Linked DNA regions of Drosophila melanogaster. The protein of the gene in region 1 interacts with the protein of each later gene in a pairwise test. Each region holds a gene or a part of one and is shown on either strand. Other genes may lie near its edges. The genes, in order: CG32631, CG30355, msi and CG12307.

Region 1 (3,688 bases):
GACTTTAATTTGTTTCAAACTGCTACGTTTAAGCTGGCAATGATTTTTATTTTTTTTTTTTTTTTAACCAGGAATATTATTTAGAATAATGCATAATAATTTATAATTTTCAAGCAATAATTAATTTACATTTATAGTTCCTCACATTACGTATACGCAGCGTTGCCTACTGTTTGTATTTCTAATTTTCAATTACCAGGAATGTTAAATACTCTTATCACCCCGTTCAGCAGCCAAGGGTTAAAATGCATCACTATATAATCATTTAAAACCGAAAAATGATGAAAATCAGTAAATAAGCATATGTACTGAATGAATGATGGGGGAGGGGGGGTGAGAGGGGGAGCTCAGATGCAGGATTGTAAAAATCTTTATAATCGCCACATTGTGTGTAAGCTCGTAAATGTGCTAAAGGGTATTTGGTTCGGAGTTTGTTTGTTCCAGGGGTGATCGAAGTTCATTGGTTCAGTTACCGTCTGTGTTTTTATTTAGAACATGTGTTTCATTAACATAATTAAAATTCAAATGTTACTTGCACTGCTTGAAGTGATATTTTAATATGTTTAACTATGTTTTTTTTTTTCTTTTTAATTTTTTACCTGGACTTCTTTGTCTTCGTAACCTTTGTGTCATAAAAGCGTTTTCAACGTTTTAAAGTATTATTTTTAGGGCTTGTTGCTCGACAAACCGGTTAACACTTTGAATCATTTTGGCCGCTTATTTCGTTCATAATCCTGGTTCTGCATCGATGTTTTGCACGTTTTCAAGGGCAGGCAGCTTTGTAATTTAATTCAATTTCTATTTAATTGAACCAAAGGCGTCTTTAATGTGCAACTTTTTGATTTATGAGTCCGCAACAGCAAGCGGCTGTCAAGCAACTTGTTCATTTCACTCCACTTCTTTCTTAGTTTCCCTCTCTTGCCTTCGGGAAAATTTAAAATCTTACTACGAAATTTCCATGCAAACGAAACATTTTCCGCCAGCCATGCCGCATTTTGCGTTTCCTCTTCTTTTTCTTCCTGTTTTTTTGGCACAAATTTAATTTGATTTGATTTTGGCCGCTGGACATGGCAAGCCCCAGGCAATTTGTCAAAAAGTTATATAGCTACTGTGTATTTTTATGTGCCGGCATATTTAATGACATTTTCCTCATTGCGACTTTTTTTTTTTGAATTTTCAAAAAATACAAAATACAATATCTTCTAAAATCCATGAGCAATGCCCAATTCTTGAAGTTTTTGATGGCCATGCAAGTGATGTGCCATTTGTTGAGTAAGTATATCTGTGGGCAAAGATTTCTAGCTTAGGCGTGTGCAATGTATGAGGAATTAATTTGTGTAAAATTGGCAAACAATGGAGGAGATGGGCCGAGTAAAGGTAAGCAATTTGTTTGAATTCGCTTGGTAAATTAATTGCACAGGTTTGGAAAATTAATGGACACCTGCAGATCCACCAGTGGCATTGTATGTTGGCCATTGTGTGGTTATTGAATTTAAGTTCCATAAGCATTCAAATGAAGATGCTGTAATTTTGCAGGAATATATAAATAAGTATATGGCCGTTATTAAATGCTGACCCACATTTTGTGTACTGGCAAAGCCAGTTTTTTTTTTGTTGGTTGTTAAAAACCATTTTGATTCTTGGCAAATCTGGTTCAATTAACTGCAGCCCAAAATATCATTTAATATCGCGATATGACCACAAAAATCATATATAAGAAGTGGCGAGCCTGGTCACCACAGCAAAGCGACTGAAAGCGAAGTCTGATAAAGAACAATCCTTACAAAATACAAAAAAATATATATATTTAAAAAATACAATTGAGCAACCAAACATGGCCAACATTCTAAGTTTTACCATCTTTATGGCTGCCATTGCTATTGGACTGGCTTTAGCCACAACAACGACAGCAAGTACAAGGACACCCATGCCCACTTCCACTGAAAAATCCATGGAAAAGGACGATCCCATGGAGTCCTTGGAACGCCGTGACAAACGCCAATTGGTAAGTGATTATTGAAGCAAACTAGTCGTGGCAAACTTAGGTGTAGATTTTAGGTTAAATCAATCAATTTTTAAACATTTACCTTTCCTCTTAATCGTATTCCCAGACCGCCAATGGTGGCCAGAGCAGCCTGGCTGGTTCCAGCGGCAACTATCCCGTTTTCTTCGATGGCCTTAATGTGAATCCCCCGCTGCAGCCACTGCCGCCACTGCAGCAACTTCAGCCTCTGCAGCCATTGCAGCCGATTACGGTGGTGACTCCTGTGGCCTCCAGTTCGAATGCCCAGAGCCAGCAGCCGCAGTCCGGCTGGCTGCCTCAGTTTAGCCAGAATCTTCCACTTATCGGAACCTGGGTGGGTGGCCTGCCCAATTTGATCAACGGCCTGGGACTCGGTTCGCTAAACGGCGGCTTCGGCACTCTGGGCGGCCTGAATCTGGGCAACCTGGGACTGGGTGCAGTGGCGCCGGTGGCCGCGGTGCCGGGCCAACTGCTCGGCTCGTCACCCAATCCCCAGACCACATGCCCACTCACCCAGAAGCTCAACTGCCGCTGTGAGCCGCTCGTTCAGCTGCCGGGCCTGAAGCCCAGTTCCAATCCACTGAGGACGCAGCTGGTGCAGATCATGCGGCAGAATGCGCGGAAGAACGAGGACGGTTCGCAGGAGGTGCGCGTAATCCTGAGCAGCGGACATGTGATCTACCAGCGGACGGCCAAGGATCGCGGCCAGAGTGGCTACCTTGCCATGAGAATTCAGTCGGGCAGGTACTTCAACATCTACTACAGTGTCAACGAGAAGGAGTACACGGTGCGGGCGGATGTCAAGGACACGCCACCCACCTCCGATTTTGACGACGAGCTGAGTGGTCAGTTCTAAAAATTGGTCAAAGGGATTTCCCTTTACTTACCTACAGTTTTTTTTTCTATACTTAATACTTAACTAGCCATTTTTTATATGAAATGCACTTAAACATATGTATTTGAATAAGCATTTAAACATATTTATGCTTATATGTTAAGCGTGCCCGATTTGAACCAAGCCGCCGAAATTCTTCGTAAACTCCATTAATCCCTTTTTTATTCGCAACTTTTTTTTTGAACTTAAACAACTACAAACTAGCTGCGAAAGAAATAAACTACAATGAAACACATTTTCTGACGATTGCTCCTTGGGGACAAAAAGTTTAGCTACAAAGACAAATATTCATGGGGGTGCGGCAATAAACTTGTTTTTATTGCCGAAAATGTTGTTAAAGGGTTAACAAGGTGGCAACGGGGGGGAGGTTGTTTCTTAGCCCTTAGCCCAATTTCCAAAAAAGGAACTTTCCTAATTACTGAAGCCACTTGGAAAAGAGATAAATAAATATTTACTCAGGCAATATTTAAGCAATAATTGTTCGCTTATTATTATCATTTTTCAGTATCAACTGATAATTATTCGTGAATAAAAGTTTTAACAATGGATATAGAAGTCTTTGTATTTTATAACTATTAAGTGCTCAAGTTTGTATATATGGCATAAATAGTTATAATTTTGTTTGTTTATTAGTTGCAGCAAGCCGACACCAGTTGAATCTGCTGGTCATGGAAAAACCCACAGAGAAAGAGGCCAGCAAACAAACAAAGAGCCAATGGGCAAATGGAAATCAAGCTGTAAAATGCCATATCCCTATCCCCCTCTCCACC
Region 2 (3,149 bases), on another chromosome or scaffold:
TGCATGCTTATGCTGTGTGGGGTGCTACTAAAAACAATTAGTACACACTAGCTTCATTGCTGCTGCTTTAATGTTTGCGTGTTGTTGTCGTTGCTGCATCTGGTACCTCTGGCTTAGTACATTGACTTTCATGAGGCGTACATGCGGTTAATATCATGCTGATATCTGTCCTGGATATCCTTGCGCTTCAGCTTGAAGGCGGCGGTTACCAGCCCCATGTCCGGAGACCAGACCTCCTTACAAAGTGTGATGGCGGCGGGAACCTCATATTTTTGCAATTTACCTTTAAGATTAAACAATTTGCCATTAAAAACTTTGAAAAATACTCAAATCTGCATCGTAGCTTACATTTCCGCGCATGCTCAGCAATTTCCTTGAGAATAGCCTTCTCTATGATCGGTGATGAGCACAGCTCCTCAAAGGACTTATCACCCAGGCCATGTTTCTGTGCCAGCTCCTCCAAATGGTTTTGGTTGGGAACGACCAGCGCCACTGTGTACTGCTTTGTCGGATCTCCGTATACGCAAATGTTCTCGATGATTCCGCAAGTCTTAAGCTCAGATTCAACTTTGCCAAGGGAAACATACTCGCCGGCCTGCAGCTTAACCAGATCCTTCTTACGATCTGCAAAAAGCGTATTATAATAAAAAAAATGAAAGAAAAAGCACTGTGCTAAATAACTTACCAATAATCTTAAGTACGCCATCAGCTTGTATTTCGCCAATGTCGCCGGTTTTAAACCATCTCTGTCCATCCTCCTCAAAGAAATCCTCGTTGGTCTTGCCGGGCAACTTGTAGTATCCCTGGGAGACACACTCGCCACCAATGAGAACCTCACCCTGGGGATAAGGTTTATTTGTGACGCGGTAGTTGCCTTCTTCCCAGTTGACTAGACGGATGTCGCAGACAGTTAATGGTCCTCCAGTGCGTCCATAGGTCATATCACGGTCTTGTATTGGGTATAAAGTTATTTACTTGTTTTCAAAAGAAAGGTCGATCTGCGATCACTTACAGTCCATGACAGTGGCTCCAGACGTAGTTTCCGTAAGGCCATAGCCCTGAATCAGCTCCAAGCACAAGCAGGTCTTGATCTGCTCATGTGTATCTGCTGACAGAGGCGCTCCGCCAGACATGATAATGCGCACTTTGCCACCCATTAGCTTTGCCACCTTCTTGAACACCAGTCTGCAAGAAAAATAATAGTTTTAGTTAGCAACTCATGATATTTATGAGCACACCGTTCTTACTTATCAATCAGCGGCGTCTTGTACCCCCTCTGCACCCACTTGACTTTGTACTGGTAAAGGAATTTGAAGAGTGATTTCTTGAACGCCGAGCCAGAGTTAACCTTGTCGTTAATACCCTTGGAAATGCGATCCAATATCAGCGGCACCGAAGTCATGCAGGTGGGCTTCAGGACGGTGGCATCGCCCTTGCACCCGCGTTTGATCTTGCTGCTAGTGTCGATCAGAGTCAAGGGGGTCGAGTAGCCAATTGGAACGCCAGTCATGAGACACACACTTTCCGCAACCAATTCAAAAACGTGAGCCAGGGGCAGGAATCCGATCAGTACATCATCCGGATAGATAGGCACCATATCAACAAATCCCTTCATTGTCGCAATGCAGTTCTTGTGCGAGAGGAGGACACCCTTAGGTGTGCCAGTGGATCCGGAAGTGTACATGATAATGGCAATGTCATCTCCCTTGGGTGGAACGTGCTCTGTGGGATACAAAATAAAGTCAATTAGTACTAGTTTAATATTTAACAAATTCCTTGCGCATAGCACGCTATACATATGCTGTCAACATTTCAGTGCTGAATTAAAAGCGCATACTTTCGGTAAACAGAAAGAACTCTTTCCAAATTGTGTAGGGTGATTTTTTAGTTCAGACACCATTCGAAATGGCTGAAGTCCTAGAGGAATTCATCACCCTAACGCCCTTGACTTGTGTGCAACAATGCAATGCTTTACTAGGCTCAACATCAGGAAAGCCGAGAAGCTGCTCCGTATTTTTTACACTATTTGGCGTATACTGCGGCGTTCTCATCTTTCGGGCGTATCGCACATATTCCTCTAAGCAAGAAAGAGACGAGGAAAAGATAACCGAAGGAGTTACCCTTGAGGCTAAGGAGGAAGATTTGATCATAGGACCTGGTTCCAGTCTTGTGAACGAATATGTAGAACAAACGAAGCCGATTCTGTTGCAACCCGTCGGTTTTTCCAGTACTGACATGAGGTGAGAGTTGTAGATTAAAACACTGGATGACCCATCAACACATTCTGTCTCGATTAGATGGCGCTATTGCAACCACTTGCCGGAAGCAGAATTAGCACAAGGCTCTGATAGTGAAAACAGATCAACCGAAAGAGATGACATTGATAACCTCGAAAGGATGAGCAATGTTGTGGATGATAATGATGCGCAGAAGCCGGTTGCATCCACATCGATGGCAACGGCTCGGGCGCCTGAGGATAACGCCGATGGTGAACACGTCGAGCCCACACCATTTTCGGTGTGAAACACGATGCATTTTAGCAAATTTATCGTGTAATTGACATAAATAAATCATCTTTTAAGACCCTTTCAAAACGTACCAAATTTACTGTCCTGTCCTGTCTTGACAACTTGGTTAAACGGCAAGATCTTGACGCCCTCCTTGAAGCCAGTGGTTTCTGTCTTTTGCAGCTGATCCTCAATATAGATAATAGTCTTCACCAATGGGCATTTGTCGAGCAGCGTCTTAAACTTGGGCAGCAGATCATGGGAGGTGATAACCGTGGTGACTTCCGTTTCGGTGATGCCTGGCAACAGAGCAAAATATTATTTAAAAACCATACACATGGTAAGCCAATTTACTCACAATGAGCAACTCCATCATCGCCCAGCGTAGCATAGACAGTGACAATGGGCATAGCCTGCTTAAAGCATCCGTGGGCAGCTATCATCCATTCGGCTCGCGTTTCGGCAAAGATGACAATGTTCTCGCGTGGTTTCTGGCCAAGTTCTCGCAGACCGCGCCCGAAATTAGCCGCCGTGCGCTCCGCCTCGGTGAACGTCTTCCACTTGTAGTCACCGAGGTTGTACTTCTTGAAGACTCGACCGTTCTGCTGCACCTCATCCTCCTCGCTGAGGATCTGCCGGGTG
Region 3 (4,929 bases), on another chromosome or scaffold:
TTAAAATCCACCCACAAATACCAATCTGTACTGGAACAGATTTCACTAATTACTTTTATGACCCAAATTTGCTGAATGCGCAGTTTGCTATAAATTTCTACCTTTGAGCGGTAATAAACTCTGGGAACATCAGTTGCAGACTAGATATTGCCATTGATATAGATCAATGGCTTATTTTGTCCTGTTGTCCTGTATTCCTGAATGGATCTTGGGGTCTTTGGGCAATCTACATCTATTAAAAAGTGTGGTAACTGTCAATAATCTAAAATGTATGGTATTAAAATATTTCAGTTGTTATAATTGTTGTATAATTGTTTTTAATTCTAAATTCCAATAACTTATTCTAAAATCTTTTATAATGAATTAAGAGGTATCTCTTAGTCCAGAAGACGTATGACGACTTTTTCTAAGAACATTTTCTTTTTATTCGTTTCAGTCACTTCTCTCGCCATTTCCGAACTAATCGAAGACGCTTTCTGGCAGAATTTATTGCTGCTTCGGCGGGGGCGTGGCAGGCGGTGGGCGGTTAAGATGTAGACGAAATGGAGGCGTGGCAGGGGCAAAAACTGCTCCTTTGACCTGTCTGCCTCAGTCACTGTTGTTGCTGTTGCTATTGTTATATATTTCTCCTTCTTTATCGCCCGAAGCTCTGCAAACAAGTTTCTTGTGTCCCGACAAAAAAGGAACCAACATGAAAAAATGGACCAAACAAAATAAGGGAAAATATATTACAGAAAAAAACTCTTTTTCGCCGTCAGCTGCTCGATTGCAGAAAACTCGTTGCGCTTGTTGCGCGTTTTGTTGTGAATTATAAAGAAAATAAAAAAAGGAGCAAATTTCATGAAATCTTGCTTAGGAATGGGTAGGCCTTTGATGTTTTTAGGCCGTCTAATAAGCCGCTGAAATTATTGTTTTAGATTTTTTTCTTCTGATTTGGGAGCGCCCGTCTGCGATTTTGCAAAAAATTTGTGTAAATTTTGAATTTTGCGGGGGCGTGCCGACATTTGGTAATTGCGGTGGGTGCAACAGGCGACAAAAACGCTATAAAATAAGCTATAAACTGGGATTAAGTCGTTGTTTAACAATCATATAAAAATGGTAAAGGTAAAATAATAATAAAGTGTGTGTTAAATAAAAATTACAATATTACAAGCATTTCCTTCAAATTAATTAAATTAAATTTTTTATTGCACTTAAGCAACAATTTTAAAGTACCGAAAAATACCAAGTAAATACCAAATGATGCTCATTTTCATTTCCCCACTGAAAAAGCCACAGCAACAACACTACGTCGCAGCATACGGGACCGGAAGTTAGAGAGCGCTCGAGTGCGAACGGGACAACAGTATGAGTCCCAAAAGTTGTTGCTGTCTCCCCAAATGGCGTTTTTTGAGCGACTTCGCCGCAAACAACAACGCGCTCTCAGTTTATGGGAGAGAGAGTTTGCTTGTTTTTGTTCCTTCGCTGGTGGTGTGGTGGGGGCGAGTGAACCGCTTATGTTGTGGGTGGTTGTTGCCATCGCATCGCAAGAGAGAGAACGATTCCGCTCTCCTTTTGGATTACCCTGTACTTCAGAAATTCCCAGAGTATATTGCGTTTGCAGAGTATTATTTTAAAATATATTTTATATTATATCTATTTTTTAAATAAAATTCCTAAAGTAATTTTTTAAATTATATTTATCATTGGGAAGTTAAGCTTAGTGTATCTAAAACTTATTGTATCTAAAAACCGGGTATCTGCAAGTTGGAAAACTCGACCACTTGTTTTATTTTATTATGCTTGCCGCAAACGACAAACAACCGAGAGAGATAGATCGACAAAGAGAGGAAGAGGTATAAAAAGCGAGAGGCGGTGAGAGAACTTTTCCGCGGGGGCCGCTTGTACTTGTATCTGTATCTTTCGGACTCAGTTTGCCTGCGACCGTTACAACAGCCAGTTGATTCGAAGCGGAGCGATTCGTGGATTCGTTTTCATCGTGTCGTCGTCGTTTTGTCGTTGATTTCCGTTTGTGCATGCAGATAAAGCCAGGTCTTAACTTGATTCTGGACTGGGCCGAAAATCGAAATCGAAACCGAAGTGGGCTAATGGAAAATAAACAAACAAACAAAGCTTGAATTTTGTTTGCCGCGCATTTAAAGTAATTCCTATTTGTCGCCCCTAGAAAATACAATAATAAGAAAATCTGTTTCTGACATGTTGCATGACTGAATTAAATTACGTGTTAAATTGTTAAGCTAAATGAACAAACCGCATCCATAAAACGGATGCCAGTGCATGCAAATTAATTAAAAATACGATTCGAAATCTCTCTACACATGCATGCACAACCCATCAAGCTTTATTCAAATCAATGACTTGAGCGGCTAAATAAAATATGTATTTCATGGCTATTAAGATTATAAACAAAATTTATCATTAAATCTAAAATCAACTTTCATGGTTTATTAACTAATGATATGTTTAACTAATGAATGCCAAAACATAAAGCAATTTAATTCGCTATGACTAAGAGACCGATAATCCATACAAAAGACGAGTTCAAGATATGTGTGTATAAATAATATAAAACAATGAACTCTCAGCTCGAGATAAAAAGCCCAGTAATTTGACTAAATAAAACATGTGTAATTAAATAAGTGCTTTACTAATAAATTGATACAAAATTCAATTCAAATGGATTAAATTTATATCAAATTTCGATTCGAGATTGGTGAACATTTGTGCACTGGAGAAAACCATCAATTTTTAAAACAGAAAAATCCATTATCAAACTACAAGCTGTGGTTAATGTTTACTGTGGTTGTTGTCGGTGACTAGCTCAGTTTTATCAACAACAACAATTTTGCGTTTCAGTTTTGTGTATTTCTCAACGAGTTGTGTACGATAAGAACTGAAAGGAGACCTAAGATTTGAAGAAAATCAGAAATGGCTCTAGGGAACTAACGATAATGAAATATTTTACTACAATTTAACAAATTGTCGTTATTTAAAAGAAATAAACACGCATAAGCCCGTGTACAGTTCAAAATCCCATGGAATATGTGACAATTAAATTAATTAAGCTTAAACAACAGATACGATAACTGAACACTTTCCAACCGAAATAAATTTGATTTGTAAATTTCACATAAATCAAAGCGAAATAGCTGGCAATCCTTCCCTTCAACTGAATTAAACAATTACTCTTTGTTTCTCAGTTTTAAGCATTCAAAATCAACAAAATGCGTCAGCTGCGAGCTGAGCTTTAAAAGAAATACGAGCTGAGCAAACAATATAAGATAAACACAGAAAGTCAAGTACAGTCAGTGCTCCAATTTTGTAACCCACAAATATATTTTAGGATTTTCCCAATAAAGTAAAGTGCAAATTGTTTAAAACGACAGCTCAAAAATAAGTCATGGTTTTTTTTTCGAAATATAAATAAAATAGTTTCTGTTCTTTACACTTTAATGACAGTAAGTTAGAGCCTATAAATAACAATTACTTGGAAATACTGAATTTAGTTGCATACATGCTACAAAGTAAGCTCTTAATTGTTTTTTTTTTATCATATTTTTCGACGTTTATAAGAATACGTATTTTATGAAAATCTGCAAAGTTGCTTAAAAAACCTTCAACATTTCCATGTTTGAAGGATAGATAATGGAGTTATCGTTGAGGGTGTTCCACTATTCCAGAGCTCACTTTAAATTGGGGGGAGAACAAAGCGGGCTATAAAGACGCTCGTTCGGCGACTCAGTGTGCTGGCTATATGCGACTATATGGCTATATTGTAGGCCTATTGTCTGGGGAAACTGCATGGAACTGCATATCGGAAATGATTATGGGGGGAGTACCAGCTTGATGACGGTAGAGGCGCGATAAAAGACACACAAAAGGGGGGAGAAAAAAAAAGGTTGGTACGTCATTAACTGACTCAGCCGCATGTTGCATCCAAGCTTTTTTTGTTGCTCCTTTTTCTGCTCAGTATTCACGTCCTGCAGAGAGAGTCCCAAAATCCAGAGAGAGAGCGTGGAGAGCGAGCGGAGAGGGAGAGCGGCAGAGCTTCAGCGCAGCACGGCGAAATTCGCTGAGCTCGCCTTAAACAGTTCGCAGCCGCTCCTTCACCGTTAGTTAAAAAAAATTCCTTGCCCGAAGCGGAAGGATTGTCGAATTTCGTGGATTTTTGCGAATATTTCCCGTGTAATTTTCGTCACGCGTCGTTTATTTGCACCAGCGAGTGTGTGTGAGTGTGTGTATAACGTACTGGTGTGTGTGCGTGTAAGTGACTCAACTCGAAGACATTTTTGTTTCTTTTGTCGAGGGACGCTTCTTTGGTTTTTTATTTCTCTTTCACATATTCGCATATTCTTTTGCGGCGAATTCAATGACGTCGCAGAAATTTGTTTTTATGCCATGAATTTATGTTTCTGTATGCGTGTGCATGTGTTTTTGTTCAAGCAAATCGATTAAATTTATGAAAAATTAATACGAAAACCGGCAGCGAACTATACAAAAACTATGCAAGCGATCCAAGACTCAAATGTTTTTAATTAAAAGCCGTGTGTGAAATATTATCAAACCGCAACGGCAAAAACAACAATATTTTATCACCATTTTGAGAGCGGCACGCACGTGTGTGAGTTCTTGAGTGTTAGTGTGTGTGTGTGTGCAGTGGCGTGTGTGTATGTGTCGAAAAAGCCGGCAATGGCAAAAGAGAATTCAGAATTCAGCATTGAAAGGCGAGAAGCAAAAGGCAAAAGCGAATGCCAAACAGCGAAAGTAAAAGCGTAAAGCCAAAACAAAGAAATGCCAAAGAAAACCCAGAAAGCCAAAAAAAATTGTTAAAATTAATAAACAATAATGCAAATCAATGTTATGGGAAATGGAAAAGCGCTTCAGATACAAATATCAATGAAAACACAAATATTGACAAATACATTTAAT
Region 4 (2,893 bases), on another chromosome or scaffold:
AAAGTTTTCATTTCCGGCGTTTAGGCGATCCGCCATTTCGGCAGCCTGCTGGTTCAAGGACTGTCTGTAGGATAAAGCTGCTTCCGAATGAATATAGCTGGGGCCATCCTTGGATTCAGGTAGTACATTTGACTTGTTGGTCTTTGAAGGGACACGATCATTCCAAGAGTCTTGCCTTGCATTACTTGTGGCAACAACAGACGGGGCTTGTTCTTGAGAACTGGTCAGCTTCTTATCTTGCATTTTAAAATCGGAATGCTTTGGTTTTGCAGATTTTAGAGATTGTTTCGAGTCTGAGTCAGCAGGATTTAATTTGAAGGAGCGCTGCGTTCCAGTTTCTGATGGCTTATTTGAAACTTTTGATTTCATTGTGGTAGAGGAAGCTTTGGCTGCTTCTGAGAAATGTTTCGACTTCAAAATTGACTTCGGAGTGAGGGTGGTATTTGAGGAAATACTGTTGCCTATTGCAGATCGTTTCAATGTTATGTTCGAAGACTTTGAGGCCACGTCACCCTCACTTTGCTTATTTGTGCAGCTCGTCTTGGATGCCGCACTGAATTGTGATATGGATAATTTGGAATTTGCTCTACCATCACCACTGACCTGACGGTTTGACCTTATTGGCATTAGGGTGCGCAAAGAGTCCTTTGAAACCGCTTCCTTTGATTGAGATACCTTGGACAGCTTCGTTGTTGAAACACCACCCGCATCAATGCGATCTTTTTCATTGAGAACTTCGGCCTGCTTCTTGGCCACGGCCATCTCTTCATTGATGGCCTTGGAAATGTCCACCTCGCCGATAGTCGACTTGCCTATACTTTGGTTGCTCTTCCGGGAAACCAACTCCTCTGATGGTTGTACATATTCGGACTTGGGTACGAATACCGGTGGCGGATACGTAACGCATGTAGGTATTTTGAATTCAGATCGGGCTCCACTATTGGGTGGTCCCACATTGAATGGATTGAAGGGTTCTACGTCGAAGTCATCAGGAAACATGTTGGGTAGACAGGTTGGCAATTTCCTGTGGGACCTACGTGTTTGACCTTAACCTCTTAAACACCCAGAACCCACAAAAACTTACCTGATTCGGATTAAATTTTAGAAGGTATGGGCCAGGATGTGGTAATTTCTTGTGTTTGTGTCGGAAAGCCAAACTATTTTTTTCTAATTTTTGATTGGCTTTTCGATTAAGGCATCTCAAACGAACTGACACAAAAATCAGTTTATACTAGTCTTGAACAATTCCATTAAGGCAATCACTCTGTTTTAGGTTCTTTCTCTGTTATTTGTGTATACATAATTGGTGTGGCCACATGAATTCACATTGTTATTTTACATTCAAGTAATCTTGGTTATCCCTTTCTTGTTTTTCTTTTTATCTCTGACAATCTCGGGTGCCTTCTTCAAGTTCTACTCTCGGCTTAATTAAAAATGACTCCCGCTTCCTAGAGAGCTGACAAAGTTTATCAATTCGGAGTGTACGTGATGATAAGGTCGAAAATCCTCTGAGTTTTTCTTTCTTGCAAATATAGGGTGGTTGCTCAGAGTTAAGCCACATTAATTAGCAGGCCGAGGGATTTTCAAGCGAGTGCTGAGATTCTGTTGTCAGATCTATCTAAATCTCTCGTCAGTATTTTGATCAACTTTTAGGAGTGCGGTTGCTGAAATTCGAATTAGAAAATTCTAATAAAAAAAAAGAGACACCATTACAATGAAAAACTCAACTGTGCAAGACAGTTCACCGCAAGTGCCACAGAATGGCATGGTCACCTATGGCAGCGGGCTCGTCTTTGGCGGGAAAGTTTATCCGGTATTGGTGGACGGAAAGCCAATACAGCCACCCTTAGGTGCTCATCAGGCAGCAATGCAACAGCGCATGCAGATGCAGCAGGTACAGCCACAGGCGCCACATACCAACTGCCCCAAGTCCATTGTCCAACAACCTATATATCAACGAATGGAGACCCGGTATCCTGCGCCCTCATACATGTCCAAGCCAAGCCAACAGAGCTCTGTGAGTTGTCCTGGCCCAGTCATGGTGCAGCAGCACTCGCCGTCTAACAATCTCGCGATGATGCAACCGTTGCAGGCGCAGATTTTACAGCGCCAGCAAATGCAAACCTCCATGGGCAGTCCTTGCGGCTACTACAACCTGCCAACGAATGCGGGTGGTGATTCCTGCGGCTGGGACGGCTATGCCATGATGCAGCCAATGGATGCCAACAAGCCGTATACCTTTGGCTGGAGTCTTACCGATTGAGTCCTTTATCCTCTGTAACATTGTCCAAAACAATTAATGAAATTAAATGTGGATTGATTTATTCGAATTTGTTTCAATCAATGTACGTACTGCATGACTACTGTAAAAGTATTCATCTCTCTTGAAGAAGTTCCCCATAATGGCAGTTACTCGTCTGGGCTTCCATTTTGCACTTCATCGAGCTCTGAGGTTGCCCCTCGTATCAGTGGCACCTCGTTTCGGGGGTTGGTCGTCATTTAGTGGTAAATTTCCGTCTTAGTTGCCAGCGAACGTCAGACGTGACATTTTGCAAATTCCGTTTTCAGCATTTTGTCGAATCGTTCCAGCATACATGTGCCACTGAAAGTGGATTCCCAGCACCACCACCCATTTGCCTATTGATGCAGAGCTGCCGGTGGTATCAGTGGATAGGGGGGAGCATGTGTGGCAAAAGGGTTGTAACTGGTTTTCTAGTGGCTTCCGATTTTTTCACTGGCATTCAGCGACTGTTGTGATGGTAGTTTTATGAGAAGTGTCTAATGCCATTAAAATATTAAATCGTGGATTTATATATTTATCAGAATTTGCTAGGCTTTAAATTAATCGAAGATATTAGTGAACTGACATTTCCGCTTTCACATTGCTTATAGC

The links.
Region 2: the proteins of CG32631 (region 1) and CG30355 interact in a two-hybrid assay, tested with the Drosophila melanogaster proteins (one large-scale study listed by BioGRID).
Region 3: the proteins of CG32631 (region 1) and msi interact in a two-hybrid assay, tested with the Drosophila melanogaster proteins (one large-scale study listed by BioGRID).
Region 4: the proteins of CG32631 (region 1) and CG12307 interact in a two-hybrid assay, tested with the Drosophila melanogaster proteins (one large-scale study listed by BioGRID).

The regions. Positions count from the first base shown.
Region 1 is NC_004354.4:13,554,715-13,558,402, forward strand, and holds CG32631 (uncharacterized protein), read left to right. Parts: upstream 1-1,757; 5' UTR 1,758-1,834; coding exon 1,835-2,005; intron 2,006-2,111; coding exon 2,112-2,879; 3' UTR 2,880-3,152; downstream 3,153-3,688.
Region 2 is NT_033778.4:8,678,585-8,681,733, reverse strand, and holds CG30355 (uncharacterized protein), read left to right. Parts: upstream 1-1,780; 5' UTR 1,781-1,905; coding exon 1,906-2,240; intron 2,241-2,297; coding exon 2,298-2,523; 3' UTR 2,524-2,588; downstream 2,589-3,149. Other genes in the region: Acsl (Acyl-CoA synthetase long-chain), read right to left, coding at 129-283, 349-624, 686-949, 1,013-1,185, 1,248-1,722, 2,600-2,806, 2,866-3,149.
Region 3 is NT_033777.3:25,514,210-25,519,138, forward strand, and holds the start of msi (musashi), read left to right. Parts: upstream 1-1,908; 5' UTR 1,909-2,140; intron 2,141-4,113; exon of another isoform or gene 4,114-4,263; intron 4,264-4,929.
Region 4 is NT_033779.5:11,650,761-11,653,653, reverse strand, and holds CG12307 (uncharacterized protein), read left to right. Parts: upstream 1-1,643; 5' UTR 1,644-1,714; coding exon 1,715-2,263; 3' UTR 2,264-2,323; downstream 2,324-2,893. Other genes in the region: CG4983 (uncharacterized protein), read right to left, coding at 1-999.